Drosophila melanogaster: one gene and its partner. The protein of the gene in region 1 interacts with the protein of each later gene in a biochemical or structural test. Each region holds a gene or a part of one and is shown on either strand. Other genes may lie near its edges.

Region 1 (5,744 bases):
CGACCAGTTCGTTCCGTTCGAAATTATAAAAAACAACAAACACAGAGCAGTTCCCACGCGCGTCCGAACAGCTGGTGAATATTTTTTGAAAAACCCAACAACAAAATGCGCGTGTTGCTTATATAGTTTGTTTGCCAGTGTGGCCGTGCTGCAAAGTGACCAAAAATCGTTTTTCGCACAGAGAAATCTGGTATTTTGCGTTAAAACAATACGGTCATCATTGCCCTAATAACAGTCCTCTGTAAAAATCCATAAGCGGGAAGTTTAAAATTGATTCGGAATGCAAAGGTTGTGAAATCCAGAACAGAAGTCTTTCCTGCAGATAATACAAGCAAACTTAATTTGTAATCTTCATAAGTACAGGAACATCCCATAAACACAAATACCTGCTACACGAGTCTAGCAGTCTAATTTTAAGCTCATAATCTCAGCAAGATAAATTGCTAAAAGTATTTGATTGCACCCATCTTATAATGTTGTATTAAAAGCATGACATTTTTCTTAATTTTTATGAATATTTATTGTAAATGTGTATTTCATTTCAAAAATATGTTAGAACTATGGCTTATATGTTGATCGATAAGCAAGGAGAACGAGAGAACTGTTCTGTTCCAAAATTGCTGTGGTATTACTTTTTATTAGGTTAACGAAAGTTCATGCAAATGATGCGGGTGTGGGCTATAGTCGGGGCCTATGAATTTTCGCCCTTCTATTCAAAAAAAATGAAAAACAAAACGCACACGCGACAATCGCCACATTTCAGAGGCAACAATATCAATGGAGACGAAAGATTTGGGTAAAGAGTATATAAATTATAAACTAAATAACGCAAATTAAAAGTTAAATTTGATGTGGCAATCTAACATACCACAGAGAGGCGAGACAGAGGGAGACCGGAACGCATCGGATCGGACCAGACCAAGAACCACTATCCACTATCCAGCGTTGGGCGCAAGTCAACGTTGGATGATGCACAGCAAATCCGTGAAATGACAACGACAGGGGCGCGAAGGCCACGAAATACGCGGTTCCCTGGGTGAGCTAGTTTCTGAAGTGCGATCCAAAGAAGGCGACAACAAAGCGTGTGAGCCTGTCCAAGCGAATCCTAATCCCGACCGTTAGGCAGATGCCGAAGAAGGGGCGAGGCTCGAAGAGATGCGGCCGAGTCCGAAACTGTATGATTTAGTCCTGTCCAAGGGCAACGCAAGTGTTCCTCACCGTCAACGATGCCATCGACATTCTCCTCCTCCAAACATCCGTTAACCTGAACACGACCAAAGTTCACACATAAAATCCTTCAACAATGCGAAATTCCTGTCTCCTCCTCCTCCGAGGTGCGAGTTAGCCATGGGACACTGCATCCCACGTTGTCCTAGCGAAGGGCTCAGAACAATCCTAAATCCAAATCCAATCCTGATTACAATCAAATAAATATTTTCATATTTATAAGATCTATAGACAGGTCCTGCCTCCACTAAATTCAATCCAAATTTATCCAATCCACGCCAAAATCAACATCAAAATATCCTCCTCCACATCCATTAATCCTCATCCTCCACATCCTCATCACTCTCCAAACATAAACGCGCAAAATGGGGAAGAGAAGAAAATAAAAATTAAAGTATTAATAGTTTGCTTATCAATGTGGTTGACATTGCGTTGTGTTCGGATTTCTGTTTCTTTTCTTTATCTCATTACAAACATATTTATTCTGTATCGATGTTTCTTGTTTTCGTTAAGGTAGATTCTAATAAATTAGCTTGGAAAACGTGCAGCCAAAATAAGAGTTATAATATAATATGTAGGAAGCAGACTGAGCAAAGGCTCAAAAGATAATCAAAAGCAAATCAAGGAATGCCGAGTGCTTTTGGCCAAAGAGAATTCCTTGGTTTACAGTTGTCATTTTAGAACTGTTTTTGTCAAATTTTGCCCGGTGGATTATAACTTAAGAGAACATTTCTGCTTCTTAGAACGTGTGATAAGTTGGAAAAGCAAGTGTTTTTCTTTTTTAAGTATGTTGGCTTCGGTGAGAGTTCGGAACTTGACTGAACAAACTTGATTGGTCGTTGATTTCATTTTACAAATCAATTTACAATTGGGGTATTTGAGGGGTCTTGAACAAATATTGATTGGTATTTCCTAATATAGCTTGCTTTTCCTGTTTCCTGCTCATTAAAATATTATAGATTAATGGATAATGCTTGGTTGTGTTTAATAGTTAGAACGTGAGCGAGACCTGGAATAAGATTGACGTCGCACTGGGGAGTATGTGGGAGTGCCACGACGGCGCGGCCTCGACGAGAATGAGCGCGAACGGGATCTGTGGAGGGATTCATAGAATAAATATTGAAAAATGAACTGTGGTAATATTTGGTTTACCTGTCGCGGTAGTCACGGCTTCCACCTCCGCCGCTGCCGCCACCACCTCCACCGCTGCCGCCACCACCACCGCCTCTGTCGTTATCACCGCTATCCTCGCGTACGCGAATGTAGGCAACCTCGCCCTAAAGACAATAAAAATATTAATATCATTTGAATAATGTCGCCAAACTATTTTTCAAAATGTAAACAGGAATGTGAACTAGATGTTTATCAAATTGACACATTTAAGGGCGTAAGTGTAAGCATCTACACCAATATAACTTAATGTTATTCCTGAAATCATATTTAATTATTCCAGCCTGTGAATAATGTATGCTGACAAAATAAATGCAAAAGTAAATTCTCTACCTTGAAACCCGAATACATTTGAATTTTACAAAGTTGGAACTGGACAATTTACATACCTCATGCGATCGGAAGCGAGAGTCGTCCAATTTTTTGATTGCGTACTTCATGTCCTCGTGGCGCAGGAACTCAACGACGCCGGAACCATCCTTGTAAGTGTCCGCGAAGCAGACGTCGCCGGCCTCGCGCATGTGATCCTTGAGATCTTGCCACGATCCGGAGGCGGGCAGTCCAGTAACCATGACGCGGTACTGCGAGCGCTTGGCTGGCGGTCCGCGTCCGCCCATCCGTCCCCCACCGTCGCGGCTTCGGTCATTGCGGTTGCCGCCGCGGTAGCTTCCAGGACCACCGCCCCGCGGGAACTCCACGCGCAGACGATACCCATCGTAGTCGTAGCCGTCGCGCGCCTTCACCGCATCGTCGGCATCCCTAAATTGGGCCAAGAGGCAGCCGGAGGATATGGACCATGGTCAAGGAAGGAAGAGAAGCAGTTGTCGCGAATTAGTTGGGTGTCTTAGCCGGGGCGCTGGGCCAGCTGTGTGTATTCGCATTACTCACCGCGCATCTTCGAACTCAACAAAAGCAAATGGCGGCCCACGCCGATTTTTCAGATCGACGAAAGTTACTTTGCCGAACTTGTGGAACAGGTCCTGGATATCCTTGGTGCGTATATCTGGGGGAAGGTTGCCCACATATATACGGCACTCGTTGCGTGATCCCATTTTCTCCAGTTTAAATCAGACGCTTCGATCTATTTCGATTTTCAGAGAACTTATTTTTGTCACGCTCACAATGACAAATGGCCGACGCAGTATGACCGTTAGTTCGAGTTGGGTAAATCCCTTGGGTGCACAGTAGTTATCGATAATTATAACGTTGATACGAAACTATAGGTGGAAGTTTCGTTGCTTATATCGATAGCTACCCTGTAAGTACTTACTTCGCTTAGTTGGGAATTAGAATGAATAAGTTATTAGAATGAAATAAATTAAGAAGTTTGTGGAATTTCCTCGGTTAAAGGTTATAAGGCAGGGTAAACATAATGTCGTTCCTTTCATTTATATTATAATTTACCGATAGTTATTGCCAATCACGCCGAGCTGCAATGTATTCGCGCAGTGTCACCACTAAGCGTCGTTCAGTCGAAGAAAAGACAACAAATATTTGCATGTGCAATACACTAAACATAAATAGCATTTCGAAAACCACTGAGCCACCGGAAAAATGGCTGCGGCCGGAAGCAACGTTCGCTGCATTAACTACTACGACCTGTGTCGCATCTGCACGGACAGCAGCGATCACAAGACGAACATCTACTCACCCGAGGGACGCGCCAAGAATCTGAGCCAAAAGATACTCGAGTGTCTCTCACTGCAGGTCGTGCTAGTGCATCAATCTCCCATTACTTTTGGCTAACAAACCCATACTTCTTGCAGATCGATGAAAAGGATCGCTTGCCCAAAGTGGTGTGCGCCCAGTGTGTGCAGTTGGTGGAGCAAATCCACGGACTTCGCGCCACTTGCCGTAACTCACAGACCATGCTAAACAACTGTCTCAATATTCGCCCGGCGCCAAGCAGCGACAAGCTATACATTCGGGATGCGGTCGATGAAACTGGGAAGAGCCTCAGTGTGGCGCAGTCAGCTCCACCAGTTCCTAATGGAGCTCAGCAGTCCGGAAATCTCTTGAACAGCATAATCCAGGCGGTAAACATGCAGCCCCAGCAGCAGTACACCATAACGATGGACAACGGGGTACAGCAGCAGCAGCAGCAGCATCAAGCTATGCCGGAAGTTCAAATAAAAAGCGAAAGACAGACGTGAGTGGGAATTCACTTTCATGAAAATCATCTCAATAACATTCTATCCACTTAGTGCTTTGGAAGAGTTTATACGCCTCAAGCCTGACATCAAGATAACGCCGCTGGGGAAAAAGGAGCCCATATCGCCTGCCAAGCCCCAGCAGCAACATTCTCTGCAGTCCCAGACAGTAACGCCTACCATAAACCCTACTCAGTTGCAGTTACAACCGCAGCTAGGCGATCAACTGCAGCCTTTGTGGCAGCAGATTCAACAACTTCAGCTTCAGCAACAACTACAGCAACTGACCAACCAGCTGCAGGCTACCACACAGTACTCCGTCGCTCAGGATGATACGTCAAGTTCTGGCGACAGTAAAAAGCCAAAGTTGAACTTTGTGCTCTCTTCGCCTACAGCGCCCCAGTTCACCACTTCAATGCCGCAATTCGGTGGCAGTCAGCCGCAAATACAGCTGCAGTTGATGCCAGGTAGCGGAGGAGTGACAAGTGCAGGGACAGTTCCTGCCCAGACGCAGCTAAATGCTGCTGCCCTGCTCTCCAGCCTGGCGGGTCCGCAGTCGACAACCAACCTGCTGTCACCAAACAAGTGCTTTCTGCCTATCACCATTCGGGACGAGAATTCGGATCAGCAGATCGTGGCGCACATAGACACCAAGAACCTAGTGTTGCCCACGACATACCAAGTACAGATGAAACTTCAGCCTCAGCTGGCCACTGCGGATGGCCAGCCAATCATGCAGCTGACACCAACATCAATTCCGGCTACTCTGCAACTGACACCGCAAACATTGGGCAATCCAGGAAGCGCCTTCCAGGGCACTACGGTGACGCAAAATCAATTTCTGGCGCCGCAACAACCGCTTACCCAACTTCCAAATACGGCACAAGTGACCTCTCAGCAAATTATTAGATCTCCACATACCAGCACCACCAATTCGCAGTTGGTGATACGGAATGTGACCAATATTCCACCGACTCCCACCACGCCCACTAGCAGCAAGAAAGCCCCCACTTTTAAAACGCCTTCTCCAAAGCAAAAACCGATGCCATCGCCAAAGAGCAAAACTACTGTGGGGCCGTCCTCAGGTGGAAGCAATGGCACGTCCACCAACGAGTTCAAGCGATTGATAACCCAGACAAAGCCACAACCGCAGGTGAAGCAACAGCAGACCGCAGGACTCTCTGCGTCAGGCGCCCC
Region 2 (3,218 bases), on another chromosome or scaffold:
AGTAACTGCTCTCAGTGAAAGCTCAGACTGGCTTAGTTACTTGTATACATGGCACATACTTATATGATAACTACGTATCTTATCTTTCAGATCGACATACTGTGCAACGAGGAGCTGCTCGGCAAGGATCACACGCTGAAGTTCGTCTACGTGACGCGCTGGCGCTTCCGGGATCCGCCGCTTCGGCTGCAGTTTCGTCCGCGGGTCGAGCTCTAACCACTGTTTTAGTATAATGCCACAACAAATGATCTATTTTTATAATTTATTGACAATGCGTAAATATCGTAATTAGGAGAGTCGCTAGTGTTAGTCCCCTCGAAACCATGAGTGTATGTGTAAATGTGCATGTATAAAGTCGTAAATATATGGTTATCCCTCCTAGAATTAAGTAACTTCCACTTCCTAACTCGTGTGACCCTTTTTTTGCCGCCTTCTTTGCTGCATTTGCTCATGATTTAATCAACGTTCTCCGTTTGCAATATTTTATGTTCTCCATTTTTAGTTTGAAATATATATGTATTTATTATTTTAATGTACAAAACACACGAATGTAAATAAATTTGTAATTATGTCGAATGGAGTATGTTCAATATGGGGGACGCCCCGCGTTTCTGTAGCCAAATCGCGGAACTCCAATGAACGGCGGTCGCTGGCGGTATCTGTAGGGGGCCGGTGGAAACGGCGGAGGACGTGGTAGCCTTTGGTATCCAAAACTTTGCTGCATACCAGACATCCCCTGCAAAATCGATTTAAGTTAGATTTGTTATTTGTTTCAATACAAATAACTACTAACGTAGAAATCCTGTGGTGGCACTTGCACATAGTAGTTGATGATCTTTGGCGGAGGATTATACCGATGCGGGCTCCGTTGACGGCGTCTTCGTTCACTGCTGCGACTTCGGCTATGTTGACGGCGTTTTCGTTCACTGCTGCGACTTCGGTTGCGATTGCGGCTCCTAGAGCGCTGGCGATGCCTTCTGTGCCTGCTCTCTCTGATGGACGACTGTGATCTGGATCTGGAGCGAGTGCGTCTGGTGGATTGGTGCGCTCTTTGGCGCAATCTTCTCAACCGATCCTGTTCTCGAACCTCGTCTGCAAAGTACGGAATCTTGTGCTCCTTCTTTCTGCTGTCCCTCTCGCTTGATCGCCCATGGTATTCTCTTTCTCGCCGGGATCGAGACCTTGAGCCACGGGAATCTATGTGAAAAGAGTGTGCGGTTAGTCAATGCATCTAACGCATAGTGTTTGGCGCATCGTCGGAGACGGAATCCACGTAATGCGCAGTTGAGAGTCCTATTGTCCTAGCTTCTCTTTCTCTGTCTGGTCGTCCAGCGTTCATTCTCATCCATTTCACATTTCACACAATATGACACTAGAAAAAAAACAACAAAAAGATGGCACTGGATCAGAATCTGATCAGATCGGTTATACTATATAGTGGGTACCTCGATGCTGGGTTCCACTGCTGTCGGCATCCATTTTCATCGGAAAATGCTGGAAATTAAATGATGCACTTTCCTCAGTGTGACCGTACTCGGCTTGCACCTTGCAATGTGCCCGCCAACTCACTTTTCGACGAACTATCGCTACATATACGTTACTTTTTGAATATTCGAGAGCAACATATCAAAATTTAAAATTAACTCATATACTTTATTAGTTTTTATTTAAGCTAAATTCAACTTTTAGGAAACAAGCGAGTATTTTAACTTTAGGGTTATGCGTTTTCCTTACAAATACTCTGCAAACACGGTTTCATTTCACAAGTACACAATACAATTTTTGTTTAAACTAACTACACAAACATAGGGAAAGCAGAATTAGCAGGCACAAATAAAACAAATTTTAAAATTTAAAACTAATCGGGACACTGATGCGCTCGTTTTCCATGGAGACCACAATGAGCGGCTCCCTTTCGAGCAAATCCTGCCTGGGTGAGCGGAGCAGGCGCACATCGATCTCCGCGTGGCCGCCATCCGGGGATACGTAGCACTCACTGGGACTGATTCGCACCAAATCGGGCACATTGCATGTGACCTCGATGAGCTGCCTGGAGCAGAAGCTGTTGGTTACGGACAAAGTGGCCAGTGGCGAACAGCCCACTCCGAATTCCAGCAAACCTGGCTGCACACACCAGTTTTGCTCGACGGGCGTCAACGTTGTGGTGTCCGCCTCCAATAGCTCATCCACTGGCTCCAATAGATGGCTCTGCGTTGGCGTCGGCGAATTGGCCACACATATGGTGCGGAATAGCACGGTTTCGTCGGCCTCCGGCAGGAACATCAGGGAACTCTCAGACGATTCATCAAAGTCCCGATTGAGGGTAAGCGCAACATCAATAATCCGCACTACTGTGACCAAGTCCAGAATAAACTCTGGCGGTTCGTTCAGCTGACCGATGTTGCGCACTGGCTGCTCGTCCGGAAATTCGCCCCAAATGCTGTCCAGCATCGGCGATGTGAGTTTCTCTCGCTGTCGGCTGCTCATCCTTTGGACCAAGCTACGCATACGCTGTCTGTTGGGCTCGTCTCCGCAGAAAATCCGCATATTGGCCAGGGTCAACACCTGTGCGGTCTTCTTAAGTATGTTCTTCAAGTCCTCACGATTCGGTCGGAAAAGTATCTGCACGCAGCGCTCGCTATTTGGCGGCAATATCAAGCGGCTCGGACGTACCTCGAAGGCCTCGCTGAGGCGCAGTTTCATGAGCACGGTGGAGTCCACTGATATACCAACGAAAGCGGTGAGAGGGCCCTTGTTGTGAAACTTGAGATTCGCCGAAAGCGGACCAGCGGACAGCTCGCATACATCGCCGATGGTAAGGAAACTGGCGCCCACCGGTCCCTTTAGCAGACCGTTTATGGTGATGGACGCACTGCCCCCGTAGCCGTACAACGGAATCTCTAGGCCCGGCTGGTTGCTGTTATGCGCTCCTGGTGGTGCATAGAAAGACAAGGCTCCGATGGCCGCTCCACAGACAGTGGGGCAAAAGTTGATCACTACCGAGCGGCATTCCATGGCTTGGAGTGTGATCGTGCTGCTGTCGGTGCCCACCAGCTGGAATCCGGGTCCCTGGATGCCAAGCCGAATGACCAGCCGTTTGTCCGCTGTGTTCTTAACCTGCATGGACTTACGCACATCTGTCCGCAGCTTTGTGCTTCCCCAACAGAGGGTCGTGTGGGTCACCTTTAGGGGGAGCAGTTTTCCATCGCGATGACTGA

The links.
Region 2: the proteins of SF2 (region 1) and tra interact in far-western blotting, tested with the Drosophila melanogaster proteins (one study listed by BioGRID).

The regions. Positions count from the first base shown.
Region 1 is NT_033777.3:16,338,443-16,344,186, forward strand, and holds SF2 (splicing factor 2), read right to left. Parts: upstream 3,547-5,744; 5' UTR 3,450-3,546; coding exon 3,286-3,449; intron 3,157-3,285; coding exon 2,787-3,156; intron 2,505-2,786; coding exon 2,380-2,504; intron 2,321-2,379; coding exon 2,212-2,320; 3' UTR 501-2,211; downstream 1-500. Other genes in the region: pad (poils au dos), read left to right, coding at 3,952-4,104, 4,164-4,546, 4,602-5,744.
Region 2 is NT_037436.4:16,589,559-16,592,776, forward strand, and holds tra (transformer), read right to left. Parts: upstream 1,493-3,218; 5' UTR 1,486-1,492; coding exon 1,446-1,485; intron 1,373-1,445; coding exon of another isoform or gene 1,302-1,372; exon of another isoform or gene 1,198-1,301; coding exon 794-1,197; intron 737-793; coding exon 587-736; 3' UTR 501-586; downstream 1-500. Other genes in the region: l(3)73Ah (lethal (3) 73Ah), read left to right, coding at 91-216; spd-2 (spindle defective 2), read right to left, coding at 1,846-3,218. UniProt on the Drosophila melanogaster protein: Member of the regulatory pathway controlling female somatic sexual differentiation, regulated by Sxl. Activates dsx female-specific splicing by promoting the formation of a splicing enhancer complex which consists of tra, tra2 and sr proteins.